Linked DNA regions of Oryctolagus cuniculus. The protein of the gene in region 1 interacts with the protein of each later gene in a biochemical or structural test. Links are inferred from orthologs where the notes say so. Each region holds a gene or a part of one and is shown in the gene's direction. Other genes may lie near its edges.

The links.
Region 2: the proteins of RHNO1 (region 1) and TOPBP1 form a complex in vitro, tested with the Homo sapiens proteins (2 studies listed by BioGRID). The link is inferred for Oryctolagus cuniculus from reciprocal best matches to the Homo sapiens genes RHNO1 and TOPBP1.
Region 3: the proteins of RHNO1 (region 1) and HUS1 form a complex in vitro, tested with the Homo sapiens proteins (2 studies listed by BioGRID). The link is inferred for Oryctolagus cuniculus from reciprocal best matches to the Homo sapiens genes RHNO1 and HUS1.

Annotation. Positions count from the first base shown.
Region 1 is NC_091440.1:106,435,195-106,439,343, reverse strand, and holds the end of RHNO1 (RAD9, HUS1, RAD1-interacting nuclear orphan protein 1), read left to right. Parts: intron 1-2,742; coding exon 2,743-3,297; 3' UTR 3,298-3,601; downstream 3,602-4,149. UniProt on the Homo sapiens protein: Involved in microhomology-mediated end-joining (MMEJ) DNA repair by promoting recruitment of polymerase theta (POLQ) to DNA damage sites during mitosis.
Region 2 is NC_091435.1:175,324,541-175,328,107, reverse strand, and holds part of TOPBP1 (DNA topoisomerase 2-binding protein 1), read left to right. Parts: intron 1-69; coding exon 70-213; intron 214-927; coding exon 928-1,109; intron 1,110-1,862; coding exon 1,863-2,059; intron 2,060-3,567. UniProt on the Homo sapiens protein: Scaffold protein that acts as a key protein-protein adapter in DNA replication and DNA repair. Composed of multiple BRCT domains, which specifically recognize and bind phosphorylated proteins, bringing proteins together into functional combinations.
Region 3 is NC_091447.1:53,481,191-53,485,430, reverse strand, and holds the start of HUS1 (checkpoint protein HUS1), read left to right. Parts: upstream 1-1,386; 5' UTR 1,387-1,520; coding exon 1,521-1,572; intron 1,573-1,752; coding exon 1,753-2,057; intron 2,058-3,306; coding exon 3,307-3,414; intron 3,415-4,240. UniProt on the Homo sapiens protein: Component of the 9-1-1 cell-cycle checkpoint response complex that plays a major role in DNA repair. The 9-1-1 complex is recruited to DNA lesion upon damage by the RAD17-replication factor C (RFC) clamp loader complex.

The DNA of each region.
Region 1 (4,149 bases):
CCAGTCCAGCTCTCTGCTGTGGCCCAGGAAGGCAGTGGAGGATGGCCCAAGTGCTTGGGCCCCTGCACCCGCGTGGGAGACCAAAAGGAAGCACCTGGCTCCTGGCTTCGGATTGGCGCAGTGTGCCGGTGTGCTGCAGCCAGCTGTAGCAGCCATTTGGGGGGTGAACCAACGGAAAGGAAGACCTTTCTCTCTGTCTCTCTCTCTCTCACTGTCTAACTCTGCCTGTCAAAAAAAAAAAAAATAAATAAAATAAAAAAAAAAATTCATCACCCAGGAGGCGGAACTGTAGCGCAGCGGGTTAAAGCCCTGGCCTGCAGTGCTGACATCCTATATGGGCGCCAATTTGAGACCTGGCTGCTCCACTTCTGATCCAGCTCTCTGCTGTGGCCTGGGAAATCAGTAGAAGATGACCCAAGTTCTTGGGCCCCTGTACCCGCATGGGAGACCCGGAAGCTCCTAGCTCCTGGCTTCTGATTGGTGCAGCTCCAGCTGTTGCAGCCACTGGGGAGTAAACCATTGGATGGAAGACCTCTCCCTCTCTCTGTAACTCTGACTTTCAAATAAGTAAATATCTTAAAAAAAAAAAAATTCACCACCTAGTAACTGGGTGAGAAAAGCTAAACAAGTGGCAGAATGAGTAAAAATGAGATTGTGCCCTGCACATCATGTGAAAGTGGTATATTTAACTAGGTACTAGATTTTTTGAACCTTGAAATACAACCCACAGAAATGGCATATGTCATATTTTGACAGTTTAAAAGCCCTGGGCCGGCGCCGCGACTCAATAGGCTAATCCTCCGCCTGCGGCGCCTGGCACACTGGGTTCTAGTCCTGGTCAGGGCACCAGATTCTGTCCCGGTTGCCCCTCTTCCAGGCCAGCTCTCTGCTGTGGCCAGGGAGTGCAGTGGAGGATGGCCCAAGTGCTTGGGCCCTGCACCCCGTGGGAGACCGGGGGAGGCACCTGGCTCCCAGCTTCAGATCAGCACGATGCGCTGGCTGCAGCGCACCGGCCGCAGCGGCCATTGGAAGGTGAACCAATGGCAAAGGAAGACCTTTCTCTCTGTCTCTCTCTCTCACTGTCCACTCTGCCTGTCAAAAAAAAAAAAAAAAAAAAAAAAAAAGCCCTGGGAAGGGGCAGGCATTTGGCTTAAGAGTTAAAATATTAAGTTAAGACATAGCCATATCCCATATCAGAGTGCCTGGGTTCAAGTCCCAGCTCTGCTTCCAATTCCAGCTTCCTGCTAATGCACACCCTAGGAGGCAGCAGCTGATGGCTTAAAGAGTCAGGTCTCAGGGCCTGCACTGTGGCGTAGTGGGTAAGGTTGCCACCTGCAGTGCTGGCATCCCGTATGGGCACCAGTTCAAGTCCTGGCTGCTCCACTTCCGATCTAGCTCTCTGCTATAGCCTGGGAAAGCAGCATAGGATGGCCTAAGTCCTTGGGCTCCTGAATCCATGTGGGAGACTCGGAAGAAGCTCCTGGCTCCTGGCTTCGGATTGGTGCAGCTCCGGCCATTATGGCTAATTGAACCAGTGGATGGAAGACCTCTCTCTCTCTCTCTCTCTCTCTCTGCCGCTCCTTCTCTCTCTATGTAACTCTAACTTTCAAATAAATAAATAATCTTAAAAAAAAAAAAAAAAAAGAGTCAGGTCCCTAGACCTAGATTGAGTTCCTGGTTCCTGGCTATTGCAGGCTTATGGGGAGTGAACCAACAGATGGTCTGTCTGGCTCTGTCTCCCCCCCCCCCCCCCGCCCAAAAAAAAAAAAAAAAAAGACAGGCCTGGAAGACAATATCAACTATATGACAGGGAAGTTCTACAGTAAAGCAGAAGCCTTGCCTAAGAGCATTTAATAAATACAACTTGTTCAGGATGGCGGAGAAAAACCATAAGTCAGGATTCTGGAGGAAAACTTCAAACGTTAGAGTCCTGTGGGTGAGACGAGGAATGAGCATTTATTGGATACCATCTGCCAGGTCCTGTGCTGGCTGCTGTCCGTGTCTGACCTCCCTCCCCATTGTTGCAGTCAGCCATTCACTCTTTACTGAGGCCAGTCCTTGAGCCAGGCACGCTGCGAGGGGTGGGGGATCAAGGATGAGCAGGACTACTGGCCCCTACCCTCACGAAGTGTATGGAGCAGTTGCAGCCTTGTGGCACGATGAAAGAGGCATTGTCGGGCCAGTGCCATGGCTCACCAGGCTAATCCTCTGCCTGTGGCGCCGGCATCCTGGGTTCTAGTCCCGGTTGGGGTGCTGGTTCTGTCCCGATTGTTCCTCTTCCAGTCCAGCTCTCTGCTGTGGCCTGGGAAAGCAGTGACGGATGGCCCAAGTGCTTGGGCCCTGCACCCGCATGGGAGACCAGGAGGAAGCACCTGGCTCCTGGCTTCGGATCAGCACAGCGTGCTGGCCGCAGCGGCCATTTGAGGGGAGAACCAACGGAAGGAAGACCTTTCTCTCTCTCTCTCTCTTTCACCGTCTAACTCTGCCTGTCAAAAAAATAAAAATAAAAATAAAAGAGGCATTGTCCCCGTTCCCACATGTGAGGAAGCTGAAGGTCAGAGAGACTGAAAGACTTGCCCAAAGCCCATATCCTTCTATTACGCCACTAGACACTTGTTTCTGTTTTGCATCCATTACTGAAGTGGACCCCCATTTAGGATTCTGGTCGTTGGGAGTAGTTTCCTGTCTCAGGCTAGTCCTTGGCGGTTGGCTTGTCTCACCCGATTATTTTTAAATCCTTAGGTAACACCTCAGTTTGATATAACAGCAGAAAGCTGCTTCCCAGTGTGCCGGAAACGTCCCCGCAACCAGAGAAGACATTCAAGTCGGAAATCCACCACATCCAAGTTTCCACATCTCACTTTTGAGAGTCCACCCACTTCTTCCAGTTCAGAGACACTGGGGATGCCCTCAGTGAAGGAGTGTCCCCATCAATCAGAAAAGGACGTTTCCAGGAGGCCCTTGGTTCCAGTGCTCAGTCCCCAGAGCTGTGGGGACCCATCTGTGAGTTCCCCTGAGAGCCTGCCTCACGTGTTCATTCCTCCTGACATCCAGACCCCAGAGCCCTCTTTGGTGAGGGGAGAAGCCATTCCCCCAGACCAGAAGGAGAACGGCCTGCGAAGCTGTCCCCTTCACCTCGGCACTCCCAGCAGCCCAGAGCCTGGGCCTGTGTTGGCTGAAGACACCCCTGAGGAGAAGTACGGGGTGAAGGTCACGTGGAGGAGGCGACAGCACTTGCTTGCATACCTCAGGGAGAGAGGGAAGCTGAGCAGAAGCCAGTTCCTTGTGAAGAACTGACTGCATTCCCGGACAGCTGCTCCCACACCAGCAGTCCTAACAGGGCTGTGAATGTCACTTTTCTGGCACACCAGGGAGTGTTTCTGTAGAATAAAATGGACATAACACCAGCAGAAACTAGATGTAACTAGAGCCCAGGGTCATAGGGGAATTTAATTCCCGATTTGCCTCTTAAGAAACTTGACCATAAACAGTTGAGTTCAGTGTCATGAACTGCTCATGTGTTTTCTTATATTAACTTTAAAATACCTTGAACCTGTTTAACATGTGTATAAATAAACAGTTGCATAAAGTTTTTAGAGAACCCTGCTCCTGTCAGTAGTGTAACAATATTACCCACCCACAAAAATCTTTCTTAATTATGTTTTCACCACTACTCATCAGTCCTTGAATCACTGCATTCAAACTAATTCATCCACATCTTTGAGTATCAACTCTGAGGCTCAGTGTCAACTGATGGACAGGGGTAGTCAAAGCAAAGCCCGGGGCCTCGGAGTGGCCTTCTGTCACCCCTCCTCTTGGCTCGTGTGCTGACAGAGCAAGATGAACAGGGGCTCAGGGCCTGCCTTAGTGAATGCAGTGGGATCAGGGATGAGTGGCACACACAGAGGGGGCACTTAGATCAGCTTGTGCTTTGAGTGTTTCCACCCAAGAAACCTGTAAATGTTAAATCTGTAAATATTAAATAAGGGTAGGAAAATGGTTTCTTATAATAACGGTGTATACATAAACGTGGACCTTTTTGAATACTGTTGGAGCTAATGCAGGCTTGCCCAGTCAACAAAGTGTCACGTGGGTTATGCAAGTAGCATCTCATTTAAGCCCCATTCACTGAGCATTCAGGAGCCTACA
Region 2 (3,567 bases), on another chromosome or scaffold:
CAAAGTGTAATTTTGTAAGACTGGTGGTCTTTTCCTTGCTAATTTTCCAAAATACTTTCTTTTTTGTAGCTTGGTTGCAGAATTGTTGGTCCTCAAGTGGTCATATTTTGTATGCAACACCAGCGATGTGTCCCAAGGGCTGAACATCCAGTTTATAATATGGTTATGTCTGATGTAACTATATCTTGTACAAGCCTGGAAAAAGATAAAAGGGTAGGTGTTAGGAATATCATGATCTGTTTATTATCATACTTAACTTTTCAGTGTAGAAGATACTTTGAAAGACCTTAAACTTAATTTTCATATTTTTAAGAGTTCAACATACAACAGTATAGTATACCTTTTTTCTTAATAAATTGTATATAGTAGAATTCATATTAAGAGTTTTTATGTTTCCCTTCAAAACTGTTTTCCTTCCACAGTTAATAAATCACATTTTCCCACATTAGATGGATTGCCTTAAAAAAATTCTTAGAGCTGTATAAATATATTGATACATAATTTGTATTTTAAAAATATTTATATTTTTAAACTATAAAAAATTGAGCATCCGTAATCTGAAATCTGAAATACCCCAAAATCCCCAATTTTACTGACAAGACACCACAAGTAGAAAATTCCACACTTCACCTCATTTAACAAGTCACAGTTAAAACACAGGTGCACTAAAATTATTGTTTAAAATTACCTTCAGGCTGTATGTATGAGGTGTATATGAAACACCCATCCCCAAGATGTCTCATTTTGTATCTGCAAATATTTCAAAATCTGAAACCAGAAGCACTTCTATACTCACTCTGTATATGTATAGTGTATATGAATATAATCTTTATTACAGAAACAACATAGTTTAATAAACTCAAATAGTTGCGTAAATACAGGAAAGTAATTCATATTTATCTTACTATTTTCTTTTTGGGGCTGCAGGATGAAGTTCATAAATATGCACAAATGATGGGCGGACGAGTATTCAGAGACCTTAATATATCAGTAACTCATCTTATTGCAGGAGAAGTTGGCAGCAAAAAATACTTAGTTGCTGCAAACCTAAAGAAACCTATTTTGCTTCCCTCTTGGATAGAAGCACTTTGGGAGAAGTCACAAGAGAAGTAAGAGATCTTTTCTAGATTGGAAAAAGGGTGCATACTCTGGGTTTTCATAGGGGAGCTTTATTATATCCCCTTTGGATTAGTTATTCAGAGAGAAAATTGGGGCTTATTGAATGAAAACAGAAGAGCAAAATGTATAAGCTCTTATTATCAAGTGTAAATTGACAGGTTGAATGGAGTATGGGTTTAGCATTAGGTACAAGGTAAGAAATCTTTTGATAATAAAGTTAGTTTTTACTACTAAATGCTCCTAAAATAATTGAGAAAATCCATTTGGCAACTCTGTAGCTCTTATGTTGCATTATCCTTAAACACCATTCCTGGATGTTAAGATGGAAAATAAATAGCCATTTTGGCAATGTATACCCCTTAAAAAGGGTATATGTAAAACTGAATATGAACATATGTAAGCTATCAGCTGAGATGTGATCATTTAATAAATGTTAATTGAGCGCATTTTGTGAACCTGGCCCATGTGTTTGATACAAGTGTTGAAAATATACTGCTTTGACCAACAAAGGCTTAATGTTAATGAAATACATATTTTTTTCCCTTGAAACAGTTTTTATTTGAGGTTGTATCTGAAACAATATATTAGAGACTTGGTATTGAGCTGAGTGTCAGTTCAGGACACTGAATTGAGGAAAAGCAGTAGTGGGATTTCTGTTGATTGTCATTACTCTGTAAATTTAAAATTACCTGGCATACTTCATATGATCATTTGTATTTCTTTCTACCATTTGTTTTTCCCAGTAAAATAGCTAGATATACTGATATAAACATGGAAGAATTCAAGTGTCCTATTTTTCTTGGTTGCATAATCTGTGTGACTGGCTTGTGTGGCTTAGACAGGAAGACAGTTCAACAACTGACGGTTAAGCATGGAGGCCAGTACATGGGACAATTGAAAATGAATGAATGTACACACCTCATTGTTCAAGAACCAAAAGGTAAAACTGTGTTTCACAAAGGGACAGATGGCAAGCTTTTCTCTAGTATGTAACGTTTAAAACTATTGCTTCTGACATATTCTTAACCTAGTTTAATATTTTTTTCCCTAAAATCTTGAAAAGATAGTTTGGGTACAGTTTGAGAAAAGATTATATAACCATCTTAGTGTTTCTCCAGGTCATTGATTAAATACAAATAAAACTAAAAGTTTTAAACCTCTTATGATATTTTGTTAAAAAGAAAGAAAAACCACTTCTACAGTTGTCAGGTACTTAAAAGAAGTTTGGGTGAATGACAAGAAAACTGAGAGGTCAAGCCAAATGACACTTCTTTTAATGACTAAAAAACTGACTTTATTTTTAATTGAGTGAATCAACCTGACTGAATGAACTAGAAGTTTTTTTGTTTTTTACTGTGCATGTTTATGGGCTACAATGTGAGAATTTGGTACATGTACAATATATAATCAAATCAAGGTAGCTAACATTTCCGTCTTCTTAGACATTGATTCTTTGTGTTGGGATCCTTCAAAATTGTTGCAGTCACCCCACTGCTGTAGACTAGCACTACTCTTCCTCTATCTGCATTCTGATGCCTGTCTGTTCTCCCTCACTCCCTGCCCTTCACAGCCTCCACTGACCTCTGTTCTGCTCTCTTGTTAGAAAATCAGTGTCTGGGCCGGCGCCGCGGCTCACTAGGCTAATCCTCTGCCTGTGGCACCGGCACCCCGGGTTCTAGTCCCGGTCGGGGCGCCGGATTCTGTCCCGGTTGCCCCTCTTCCAGTCCAGCTCTCTGCTGTGGCCCGGGAAGGCAGGGAGGATGGCCCAAGTGCTTGGGCCCTGTACCCCATGGGAGACCAGGATAAGTACCTGGCTCCTGCCATCAGATCAGCGCAGTGCGCTGGCCGCGGCAGCCATTGGAGGGTGAACGAATGGCAAAGGAAGACCTTTCTCTCTGTCTCTCTCTCTCACTGTCCACTCTGCCTGTCAAAAAAAAAAAAAAAAAAAAAAAAAAAAAAATCAGTGTCTTTAGCATCTACATTACATGAGAACAAGCAATGCTTGTCTTTCTGTCCTGGCTTATTTTACTTAGCATAATGTCCTCTAGTTCCATCTGTGTTGCAGCAAATTGACTAGAAGTTTAAATTGAAGATACACCTTGCAGAACATGAGGCAGTAAAATAAAAAAAATTACTCCAAATATGAATTCTTTAAACTTTTGGCATTCTATAATCTTTGTATCTCTTTTGCAGAATATTTTTTACCAGTACTCATTTTTTTTTAAGTTTTATTTATTTTTTGGAATTTAGAGTTACATAGAGAGGGCAAGACAGAAAGAGAGAGATCTTCCATCAGCTGGTTTACTCCCCAGATGGCCACAACTGCCAGCACTGGGCCAGGCAGGAGCCAGGAGCTTCATCCAGGTCTCCCACATGGATGGCAGGAGCCCAAGCAGTTGGACCACCTTCCACTGCTTTTCCCTGGCCATTGGTGTTGGATTGGAAGTG
Region 3 (4,240 bases), on another chromosome or scaffold:
GGAACTGGCCTAATGAGGGGCGGCCTGATGGGGGAGACTGGCCTGATGGGAGGGGGTAGGCCTGATGGGGGGCAGTCAGATTGATAGGGGGGAAGCGGCCTGATGGGGGAGAAGTGCTGTGATGGGGGGAACCAGTCTGGTGTGGGGGAGAGACGGGCCTGATGGGGGGGAGCCAGCCTGATAGGGGGGAAGTGGCCTGATGGGGGGACTGGCCTGATGGGGGGGAAGTGCCCTGATGGTGGGGGACCGGCCTGATTGTGGGGGGGGTGGGAACAGGTCTGATGAGGGGAAGCACCCTGATGGGGGGGATCGGCCTTTTGTGGGGGGAAACTGGGGGAGTCCCCTATCTGAAGGGGGGAGTCACCCTATCTCCCTGACTGGGGGGATCGCCCTGATGGGGGAGGGGGGATCACTGAGCTGGAGAGGCAAGCGGTCTGCGGGAGGGGTGGGATCACCATGACGGGGGAGGGGGGGGCGGTAATCGCCCTGACTGGGGGGTGGTGATGAGGAAGGAATCCCTTGACGGGGGTGGGAGGGGTGATGACGGAGAAGGAATCGGCCTGACCTCCCCCAGACGGAGAGGTTACCGGCCTGACGGGGGCGGGGAGCGGCAGGACCCCGGCCCCCGGCACCCCGGGTCCCAGTCACCACGCCGCTCCCAGCCCGAGGTTCGGGGCCGCCGCTCTGGGGCGGTACTTCCTCTAATGCTTTACGAGGGCTTAGTTTCATCTGGATATTCTCAAGATCCGGACACCCGCGTCACGACGTCCTGGGGGCAGACCCCCCACCCCTGCCCCGCACGCGGCAGTCCCCATCCGGGGCCCGACTAGGGCCCACCCCTCTAGGGGCGTGGCCAGGTCCCTCCTCCCTCGGGGCGTGGTCAGGGGCCCCGCCTCCCCGGGGCGGCATCAAGAGGCCTCGCCTTCCCCGGAGCGGCATCAGGAGGCCCCGCCTCTCCCTGGGCGTGGCTAGGTCCCTCCTCCCCCGGGGCGGGCTCAGGAAGCCCCGCCTCCCCGGAGCGGCATCAGGAGGCCCTGCCTCTCCCTGGGCGTGGCTAGGTCCCTCCTCCCCCGGGGCGGGCTCAGGAGGCCCCGCCTTCCCCGGAGCGGGCTCAGGAGACCCCGCCTCCTCGGGGCGTGGCCAGGTCCCTCCTCCCTGGGGGCTTGGTCAGGGGCCCCGCCTCCCCGGGGCGGCATCAAGAGGCCCCGCCTTCCCCGGAGCGGCATCAGGAGGCCCCGCCTCTCCCCGGGCGTGGCCAGGTCCCTCTTCCCCCGGGGCGGGCTCAGGAGGCCCCGCCTCTCCCTGGGCGTGGCCAGGCCCCTCCTCCCTGGGGGCGGGCTCAGGACGCCCCGCCTCTCCCTGGGCGTGGCCAGGCCCCTCCTCCCTGGGGGCGGGCTCAGGACGCCCCGGCAAGGCCTCAGGCGGGAGCCGGCGGAACCACTCTGCGCAGCCGCGTTTCCGGGCCGGGCCGCTCGAGGCGGGACGCGTGTCCGCCGCCGACCGCGCTCCCCGGCGCCGACATGAAGTTCCGGGCCAAGATCGTGGACGCGGGCTGCCTGAACCACTTCACCCGTGAGCGGGGCGCGGGCCGGGGCGGGCAGGGCGCGCTCGGGGCGAGGCGGGCGCCCGGGGCGTCTCCGGAGCTCGTCCCCCGCGGCGGGCCGGCGCGGGAAGCGGGAAGCGGGCCGGGGCGCTGAGGGCCGGGGCCGGCGCGCCGCGCGACTCTGTCTCCGTGCCCGCTTCCCGCCGCAGGCGTCAGCAACATGGTAGCCAAGCTGGCCAAGACGTGCGCGCTGCGCATCAGCCCGGACAAGCTCAACTTCATCCTGTCGGACAAGCTGGCGGGCGGCGGCGCGAGCCTGTGGTGCGAGCTGCAGCAGGAGGACTTCTTCAGCGAGTTTCAGATGGAGGGCGTCTCCGCGGACAACAACGAGATCTACCTGGAGCTGACGTCCGAAAACCTCGCCCGGGCCCTGAAGACGGCGCAGAACGCCCGGGCCCTGAAGGTCAAGCTCACCAACAGGCACTTCCCGTGCCTCACCGTCTCGGTGGAGCTGGTGAGCGGCGGGCGGCCCGCGGGGGGCTCATTTCCAGTCGCACGGAGTCCAGGCAGCCCCCGCCCTTGGCAGCCGGTGGAACCCGCGCCGCCCCGGCCCCCGTGAGTCTGGGAGTGGTGGCCGCGCTGGTGCTGGGGATGCCAGTGCCGGTGCGAGTGCCAGCTCGGCCTCCTGCGCCCTGCTGGTGCACCCCTGGGGAGGCAGGTGACGGCTGGCCCCGCCCTGGGCCCCTGCCACCCAGCCCCCAGCTCCCGGCTTCTGCCTGCCCAGTCCCGGCTGTCCGGGGCATTTGGAGAGGGAACTGGCACACGGGACGTCTCTGTCTCCGCTGCTCTGCCTTCCAAATAAATAGAAATTGAATCAAAGACAGCCGTTTCTGTCCGTCTTCCCCTTAGCCGTGCTCTCCCAGGCCGTCTGCGGGCAGTGGCTTCCTCTCATTTTGCTGCCGCGAGTCAGCCCACGCAGGGCCCCTCGGTGGCTCCCGTTTCCTCACAAGGCCTTCAGGGCCCAGTCAGACACCACCGCGGCCCAGTGCTGCAGCTCGCCGACTCGCTGACTCACGGGCTGAGTCCTTCTTGGGCATGGCGGCCGCCTCCCCCGCCCCGTCCCCGCGTCTTCTCTGCGTGTCTCACTCTACAACCTGCGGTGACGATGGTGTTCAGCCCCAGCTCTGTGGAAGACGACTCCTCAGCTCTCTGCAGCGGGCCGGTACTCACGGCCTGGCTGGAGCCCCTCAGAGCCCCTCGCCACAGATCTGGATGGTTGAAGCTTCCAGCAGAGGATGAGCCGCGGGAGCTGAGCGGCTTCCCCGTGGCTTCCCCGCGGCAGGCAGCGTTGCGTCTGCCCCGCGCTCTGCTGGGCTGTTTTCTGGAGTGCTGTCTGGGGCGCGGCCCCTCGCCCGGTGCCGCCAGCCCGGCTGCCTCTGCTGGCCTTGGCAGCATCTGCGGGTGACCTCCCAGTCTGAGCAGCCTCCCTCGGGCTCTGCCTAGTCTCGCTCCTGCGTTTCCTTCCAGGCTGTATCGAGCACCTCGTGCCGTCTTGCCGTTTTTTTGTGTCCCGGTTCTGCCGGAACATCAGGGCCCGCTTCCCAGGTGCCGGCAGAACGGTGCTCCCTCGGCCTGGCTGAGTGGGTTTTGAGAGAATGTACTGACAGCATTCGGCTTCCCTCAGATAGTTCAACTTTTTGGTCCTCAGTAACTTGGCTTTTTAGCACGGATAGCAGAACCATTTTTAATTCTTGTCTTTCCAGATATCCGTGTCAAGCAGCAGTCGCATCGTGACGCACGACATCCCCATAAAGGTCATCCCTAGGAGACTGTGGAGGGACTTCCGGGAGCCCTGCATCCCAGATTCCGACGTAAGTGCTGTCTGCGGGCTCGCCCCTCGGGGCACATGAAGGGCGGGGTTTGAATTCTGTGGTTTTGATTGATCTTAGGGTGCGTTCATGTTTGTTTTAGAGTTGTGTAGGGCCTGAAGAGAAAGTGGCATTCATTTTTAGGGCTGTTCAAGGAGAAATCTGAGTCATGCCTTTGTTATTTGCAAAAAAGATCTTGAGAGACGATCGCGTCTGATGGACGTGCCATGCTCTCAGTGACAGCACCGGGACAGGCCTGAAGCGGCACCGAGTGGTCAGCTCGGGTCTCTGAGGACCCGAGTCCCGCGACCCAGCCGTCTGGATGTGTGTCACAGAGCCGGGAGGAGGGCGTGATCGTGACCGAGCGCCGTGGAGAGTAAAGACGATGCCCAAGGGCCTGGCCTCCTGCTCACCGTTTGCTGCAGAAGAAATTCAACGCTGTGCTGGACAGATGATCACTGGGCTCCGCCGAGGGCCGCCTGGACTTGGGAAAAGGCAGCGTTGGATGAAGCACACGGGTGACGTGGCCTCGGGGTGGCGCAGTGACTGCTCCCTGTCGTGCACAGAGCTCGGAAGAGGCCCCGCTGAGCGCCGCCGTCCTTCTTAGGTGCTTAGGGACAAGCCGCCCAGGGGGGCAGAGCAGGCATGCCGTGCTCCAGTTTTGTTTCATTGCTGTGAGTTAATGAAATTAGAAAAACGGGTCCCCTGTGTTTTGAAGAGCTTCATTCAGATCATTTAAAAGCAGGACGCAAGCGTGCGTGCATTCCAGAGTCAGTCAGGAATCTGTCGTTATCATGCGCTGCTCGTGTTTTCATGCTTGCACTGTTCT